Coturnix japonica: one gene and its partner. The protein of the gene in region 2 binds, or shares a complex with, the protein of the main gene of each other region. Links are inferred from orthologs where the notes say so. Each region holds a gene or a part of one and is shown on either strand. Other genes may lie near its edges.

The links. The genes of interacting proteins can lie anywhere in the genome.
Region 1: the proteins of GNAI2 (region 2) and P2RY12 are in contact, whole or in part, in a cryo-EM structure (PDB 7XXI), measured with the Homo sapiens proteins. The link is inferred for Coturnix japonica from reciprocal best matches to the Homo sapiens genes GNAI2 and P2RY12. Residues at the interface, in NP_002061.1 of Homo sapiens: Arg24, Glu28, Ala31, Arg32, Leu195, Glu319, Ile320, Tyr321, Phe335, Phe337, Asp338, Ala339, Thr341, Asp342, Ile344, Ile345, Lys346, Asn348, Leu349, Lys350, Asp351, Cys352, Gly353, Leu354, Phe355; in NP_073625.1 of Homo sapiens: Phe59, Asp121, Arg122, Lys125, Thr126, Pro129, Phe130, Thr132, Asn134, Pro135, Ile212, Leu216, Ser219, Tyr220, Arg222, Thr223, Arg224, Val234, Lys237, Ile241, Leu301, Cys302, Lys303.

The regions. Positions count from the first base shown.
Region 1 is NC_029524.1:20,910,572-20,914,318, reverse strand, and holds the start of P2RY12 (P2Y purinoceptor 12), read right to left. Parts: upstream 2,594-3,747; 5' UTR 2,487-2,593; coding exon 2,265-2,486; intron 1,070-2,264; coding exon 26-1,069; 3' UTR 1-25. Other genes in the region: MED12L (mediator of RNA polymerase II transcription subunit 12-like protein), read left to right, coding at 3,331-3,478. UniProt on the Homo sapiens protein: Receptor for ADP and ATP coupled to G-proteins that inhibit the adenylyl cyclase second messenger system. Not activated by UDP and UTP. Required for normal platelet aggregation and blood coagulation.
Region 2 is NC_029527.1:2,015,667-2,019,413, forward strand, and holds the start of GNAI2 (guanine nucleotide-binding protein G(i) subunit alpha-2), read right to left. Parts: upstream 2,662-3,747; 5' UTR 2,589-2,661; coding exon 2,471-2,588; intron 1-2,470. UniProt on the Homo sapiens protein: Guanine nucleotide-binding proteins (G proteins) are involved as modulators or transducers in various transmembrane signaling systems.

The sequences.
Region 1 (3,747 bases), on a different chromosome or scaffold from region 2:
GCAGGGGTGTGGGTGGTTCTTTGTGCTAAACCGGGGTATCCTCAGTGTCGTCTCTTTCATCCAGCGCCGCTGTTTGAGCTGACAGTTCTGGTGATGTGGAGTGCTTGCACAGCATGCCCAGCAAGGACTTTCGAAACGACTTGCAAAGGAAAAAGTAAATGAATGGATCTAGGCAAGCGTTTAGTGATGTCAGCCACAGCGTGCTCTCCTTTAAGTAAAACAGGGTGTTCATTGCAGAACAGTCAAAAACATTTCTTGTTTGGCTCAAAGTGTAGGGAATTCTGGTAAAGTGGAATGGCACAAAACAAATGAAGAACACTGCGATTATTATAAAAACCTTCAGATTTACAGACTTTTTTGATGGTCTTCCCGTGCACCTGGTCCTCTGGTAGGATTTATACAGTTCTTTGCTTATAAGTATGTAGCATACAACTATGACCATTAAATTAACCCAGAAGATAAACTGGCAGATGTAGTTTACAGTTTCATGCCAGACTAAGCCAAACTCAGATTTCAGGAGAGCACACTTCTTTACGTTCTCAGGAGTTTTTTTCTTGTTCGATAGAATCATGTTGGGTAATGAAAGAGTAAACATCGATATCCAAATTGCCATGGAAAGCATCTTGGCACCTAGGAGGCTCCTTGTGGTCGATGTTCTGAATGGCGAGGTGGCTTTCTGATAGCGATCAATGGTTATCAGCCCAAGAAACAAGATGCTGATGTACATGGTGAAGTAAAATATGACCTGGCTGACCTGGCACACAAACCCTCTCAGTGCCCACGGTACCAACTGTGCATCACTGAGGATTTTAAATGGAAAAGTCAGAATCATGAGGATGTCAGATATGACAGTATTCTTGAGGAAGATGATGAAATTGGATTTACTTGATATTTTGAAGAAGATCCACGTTGCCAGGCCATTCATAGTGAGACCCACCAGGAAGAGAAGGGTGTAAAGCAAAGGGAAGATGACATGTCTGATTCTGTTATCGCTGGTGCAGTTGCTGCCATTGATAGAGTGGCTGAAGTTGCTTGTGGCTTTTGTTTGCATTTCGTCTTTTCCACCCTCCTTGTAAAAAACAAAAACAACAAAAGAAGAAAAGTAAAGAAGTGAAGCTGGATGTTCTGTCTTTTATGATTTCAGCCTTCTTAGTCTATTTTTCATTTTTATGCAGTGAGCCTTTCTGTTGGACTTTGCCACCTGCATTGCTTTCCTCTCAGGATGGCGAGTCGGAGCAGGCAGTGCTGGGCATGGCCACACCAGGAGGCAGACCGAGGGGAGCTGCTGTTCTGCTCTGTTGGGTCCTGGCCTAGCAGGGGCTGTGTGGAGGTGTGGGGCAGGATGAGCAGGATCCTGGCACTGTGATGGGCTGTGGGGCTGCCAGTACTTGGCTGTGTGGGGGCTGTGGCAGCAACTGCCTGAGCTGCATCCTCTGCTCACAAGGAGAAAGGGCAAACATTGTTTTCCACATCCTTAATGTGGAGAAGAGGTAGCAGCAGAACTCCTTTTGGCTGCAGATTTGACAGAGTGAAGATGATGTGAAAGTAGTTCAGTGCCCCTCCTTGTTTCTGTTGCTCTGGCTGCCTGCACCCCAGCCCTGCTCTCAGATACCTCTGCCACTCCTGCCACACGTCCTCCAGACACAGGGGTGGCTGCTTGCCCTGCAGGCTCCCAGCATGGTTTTGCCCAAAGGAGAGGCTTCTAGGTGCCCCGCAGCTGAGATGCCAGCACTCAGACATCGCTGTGTTACTGCAGCGGGTGCAGGTTTGCCAGCGTGGTCTGTGAAGGCTTTTGTAGCTTTACTTGTGTAGGAATTAATTTACAGCATCACAACTAGTTTCTCCTGTCACTTTTCTAAATCAGCTGTTCCATCCAATGTGGTGCTGCAGAAAGCACTGACCGACCCCATGGCATGGAGCAATGTGGCACTGCAGGCGCTGCAGCCATCGGCAGCCCTGGAGCTGGCAGGGCCGTGCTGTGCCCAGTGTGAGAGGCAGGTGGGCACTGCATGACCTCAGAGGGGCCACTTTCAGGAGCAGCTCTGTCTTTGTAAGCAAGGTCAGCCAGCACCTGAGCATCCCGACACGGCCCTCACAGAGCTGCCAAGCTTCTTTTCTGTCTATAAGGGTTTGAGAGGCATATTGGAATCTGCTTCTGCCCTGAAGTGTGTGGCAGATCCAGCTGCCACATCCAGTCCTAACAGAGCAAGGATTTCCCAGGTATGCAAGATCAGAAGAAAAGCAGAAATCAGAGAGAGGGTTACCGTTGCGTGCTGCCAAGCAGCGCTGCTGTGCTGGGCTGTTCTCTGCGGTGGCACTGGTGTCACTGCGGTTCCTGGTGCAGCAGCAGCTCTCTGTGCGTGCCCGGAGCTGGGGGAGGCTGTAGCTGCTGCTGTGCTGGGGCTGCTGCTGTGCCGGGGCCGCTGGTGAGCTGGGTCTGGCTCCTTAGCCAGGGGGGGACAGTTGCTGATCCCAGGTGACGCCATCAGCGCTTCTGCTTTTGTTTCCTTCAGAACACACAGAGAGAAATAGAGTTTTCTAAATAATTAGAGGTTTACTTCCTGCTTTCGACCTACAAATAGAGCTGCTATTTTTAAAAGAGATTGTATCGCATATTTCGTAAGCTGGTGCAACTTTCCTGAGTGCAGAGTTGTGCTCCCGTCTCTGTGCCTTGTGGTTTGTGTGGAGTCATTTATTATTAATTTTCTACACGGCCCTCCTTGCTTGAAAACTGTGGGTGGTCTCATTGTGTAAAGAGAAGCAGTGATTGGAGGAGGTGATCTTATTTTGTAAGATTTTGTAAGAAAGATTCACACCTTTTATCACTTGCTGAGCAGTTCTTAGTTTTAAAGTTAGGTATTTGGCATCAGCTCTGTGTGATACGTGGTAGTAGAAGACTAAATGTAACTGCTTAGAGTTTCAGTAAACTGTATGTGTTTCAGTTTCTTTGGGATTTATAAAAAATACAGTCTTAAGTGTTGGACGGCATCTTCTTGTTGGTGGGGTTGTACACGGTGAGAGAAGTGAGGAGCAGCTGCTGGACTTGTGCTCTGCGTGCTTAGCACTGCCTGCCACGGAGATGGGGATGGGCATGGTGTGCATCTCCTGGCTGTCTTTGTAGATCCATAGGGATGTGTGGTACCAGCTGGCATGTGTTCCCTGTGTTCTGAACCTGGCAGTTTCACTTGGTGCTGTTTCCTCCACGGCCATAACAGCTGGAGATGCTTTTTGCAATGAAACATTTGTTATTGCTCGCTGCAGCCTGGGCTGCTGGGCTTCTGCAAGCCATGGCAGAACAGTGATGAGAGACTTCACTGCTGCTTTTTTCAGGATGAATCTTCAAGTCATGAGTGTAACCAGCGCATGATTCTTCTCTACGGCGTTGGCAAGGAGCGTGATGAAGCAAGACATCAGCTGAAGAAGATTACCAAAGACATCCTGAAGATTCTGAATAAGAAGAGTACTACTGAAATGGGTGGTAAATGCTTTCACACTGCTGTCTGGTAGCCCGTAGCAGAGATCATGGGAGCTGTGCTGCCCCAACATGAGGCGCAGCCTGCTGCCCTGCCCTGCCCTGCTTGTGGTGTGGGGATAAAGCCTGGAGTTCAGTGCTCTGGCTGGGCAGTAATATGCACTGCTGGCCTTCCCAGTAAAACAATGTGGCCATTTTCCAGTTGTTATTAAGTGTCACTTTTTTTATGCTGATGACCTTAAAGTAGCTTTCCTGTTGTCATGTGGAAAACTGAG
Region 2 (3,747 bases):
TGAGCACAGTGCCACAGCCTGGACCTGGGGGGAGTAATTGGGGGTGTGCAACTTGGTGAGGGTGCAAAGCTACATCCATGGCCGCCGAGGGAGCAGATGCAACAAAACAACCCGTTGTGGGGAGGGTGTGTGGGGCTGACAGTTGGAGGGTTTGGGCTGGGCGTACTTTGGGCTGGGCACAGCCCTCTCCACACCCCCGCTGGCTTTCCGAGCTGGACAAAGCTATTCCTGTGCCTTTTTCCAGGAAAGAAGGGAGCGTTCTCCTCTCTTTCTGGCCTTGAAATCCCAGGGATGCCACATCTCTCCTGGTGTGGCTCACAGGCCCCGTCAGGTTTCCCTTAGAACCATCACCCCTGTTAAAGCCCTGCACCTCCCTGCAACCCCATGTCACCAAAGGGCTGCAGCAGAGCGTGGGGTGGGGAGCAGGGAGGAAGGAAAACCCGCGGGTGCGTGAGGCAGCGCCGGAGCTGAAAGCAGCAGCCGGTGCCTCCCTTCCTCTGCTGCTGAGCACACAGACGGAGCCACAGAGCCCAGCGCCCCCACCCTGCGACGGAACCATCCCAACAACGGGGCTGAAACTGCACCCTCAGCACTGAGCACAGCGTGCCCCAAAGAGCCCCCCACTGCAAACCCAGCCATGTGCCCTGCAACCAGCTTTGTTTGAGGGCAACATCTGCATCTGGGGCTTCCCAAACGCTTTCTAAGGCAGAGATCCCCAAGAGCGAAGCCAAGGAATCTCTCTTCTTCCTTAATGCCAAGCAGGCGGTGTGGTTTAGGGCTGTTAGCACTGTGTCCACAAAGCCCACGGGGCAGCTGCGGAGCATCAAGGAGCGCATCCCAAATGCATCCAGCTTTAGGGGATGGTGGGGGGTCTCCTCTCTGTGCTGCTGCCCACAGGTCCTGCGCCCACCGACAGCCCCTGGGGCTGCTCCATCAAACCGACACAACAGCCAGAAAGGGAGAAACTCGGGGAGGTGGGCGCAGAGCAGCAGGACGGGCGGGCAGCCCCCATCCCCCAAACACCAACAGCACTTTCAGCAGCAGCACAGAGGATTCTGCAGGACCACGGTTTCACTTCCGCCTGGAGCAGGGCAGCAGCTGGGGGCTGTGCTGTGCTCTGTGCTGTGCTCTGTGCTGTGCTGTGCTGTGCTCTGTGCTGTGCTCTGTGCTGTGCTCTGTGCTGTGCTGTGCTCTGTGCTGTGCTCTGTGCTGTGCTGTGCTCTGTGCTGTGCTCTGGGGATGCGGATGCAGCTGGGGGGGTTCCAGGACAAGCTGAGGGGCTCCAAGCACCGTATGGGGACCCACCAGGAGCCATCCCAGTGGGCTCTCAAGTCCTTTCCAGACACATTTCGGTTTAGAAAGCAGCACCGAGAGCTCAGGGCCTTCGATACTGTTTACACTTGAACAGCTGCTGAGGCAGGGGAAGGAATCAAAAAGACTAAAAAATGGAGCTGTTTCGCTCTATTTTTGGCTTTAGAAACCCACCGAGATCAGTAACCGGAGCCTCACCCTGCAACAAGGAGCACAACCACGCTGCTCCCAGCCCCGCATCGCTGCGCCCCATCCCGAGATGGGGAACCCTACGGCCTGGAGCCGAACGCATCCCTCCGAGCGAGGCCGAGCCCACGGCAGCCCCAGCAGCGGGGTCTCAGCCCCACGCGCCCGCCCCAAAACGCCGCGGGGTTCCGTCCCGAGCTGCCGGTGCTCCCGGTGCTCCCGGTGCTCTCTCCCGTTCCCCTCGCACCGATAACCCGACCCCCACGGCCCGGCCCCACCGCCGCACCCCGCCGTGGGGAAGCACCGTCGCGCTCCGCCCTTCTCCGCTCATTCCGCGCTCGTCGAGGCGGACGGTGTTGGAGCGGATCGGCCGCTGCCTGATTGCACCACGACTTCCTGCTGCTCTCGGCTTCCTCTCTTGAAGGAGGCGACGAGAAAAGACATTTTGTGCCGGCGTTTCCCCCCGACGGCAGCGGGGGGGGGCGAGGGGGGAAAGGAGGGATGCTCCTCCCGATCCCATCCAGCGCCCCGGGGCTGCATTAAGGGACCCCCATCCCCAGAGATAACAGCGAGATGGGAGAAAATAAACGCTGCGTTTCGGGCCGGAGCGGGGGGGGGCGGCTCCAAACAGCAACAGAAACAGCGAGGGGAGGGATGGGGGGATGGAGGGATGGAGGGATGGGGGGATGGGGGGATGCCCGCGGGTTCTGCATCCCACCCGGGGCCTTTGCGATGGGGACCCGGGGGCGTGGCTGACCCCGCAGCACCTCGGGTGGGAGGGCGGGGGGTTGAGAAGGGAACCCCCGGGGATGCGGGGGGTCGGCGGGGAGCTGGAAGTTGAGGGTTGTCCCAAAAGAGGGTGGGAAATCACGGGTGGGGGAATCGCGCCGGAGCCGCCCGAGGGACGGCGATGGAGGGGGGTGCGGGATGTAGCGGGGGGGACGGATGCCCGGGGGGCGGCGGCCACGCTCACCCAGCAGCAGCAGCTTCACCTCCCTGGCCGCCTTCTCGCCGTCCTCCCGCAGGTTGCGGTCGATCATGCGGGAGCGCTCGGCGGCCGCCTTGTCCTCGGCGCTCACCGTGCAGCCCATGGCGGCGCCCCTCGCTCCGCGCTCTGCCGGCACTGCCCTGCCCTGCGCGGCGCGGGCGGGGCGGGGAGGGGCCTGTGGGGAGGGCGGGGGTTCCGTCGGGGGGCGTGGAGAGAGGAAAGGGAAGGGGACGGGCTGGGTGCGCTGGGTTGGGCTGTGATGCGATGTGATGTGATGCAGTGCGGACAGATGTGGGCTGCGCCATCGGTGATCCCCGGCACAGATGTGCACAGGACCACGTTCATTCCGCAGGACAGATGTGGGGCAGGCCGTGCTGTGAGCAGGACAGATGTGGGGCAGGCCGTGCTGTGAGCAGGACAGATGTGCAGTGAGTAGCTGTGGGTCCTTTCAGGGCAGGCATGATGCACAGCGCCACGTGCCCCACAGCAGACATGCCCAGGGCACGGGGTGTCGGTGGTGGCGGTGCAATGGGACGCGCTGTGACCCAGACTCTCCTTCTCCATCCCCACCGTGGCTCATTCTGCCACATCTCACGGCTTCACAGCACGGAGCCACCCCCGGCGTCCCCGCTCCGCTCGCCAGGCTGAGCTCCCCATTGCACCCCGTTTCCCAGAGCCGTGAATCCCAAACCCCGCTTTGTCGCCGTTCTTGCTGGCGCTGTGTCCCCACTCCCAGCCCCAGCATCGTACTCGGGCCTCCCCGGACACCCGTCCGTGCTGTCCCCGCGGTCCCCCCCCCCCCGCCCCACACCGGGCACGTCTCACATTTGTATCCTTTATTATTACTTTAACGGATCCGCTCGGTCGCGCTCCTCCTGCACGGCGCTCATCCCCACATATAATTTAACAGCGCGGCGGGGTGGGGGGGCCGTGGGTGCGGGGACACCGGGGTGACACGACGAGCACCGCCCCGATCCCGCACACGGTTCGGAGCTCCCGAGAGCCGCGCGACACATTAAAAAAGAACTACTCTTATATACAGTATTTATAAAAAGCATCCCAGCCTCCACCACCCCCATATAAAAATAGGTCTCTTATTTACTTGGCGAGCCCCCGGCCCCCCCTCACCGCCTGCTCGCATCCCCCGCGGCCTGGCCCTTGGCGTGGCTGGGAGCTGCCCATGGCATGGACGGACAGACGGGTGGGTGGTGGGAGGACTGCGGGGCCGAGTGGTGCCCATCACCCTGGTGTCAGGGAGCATC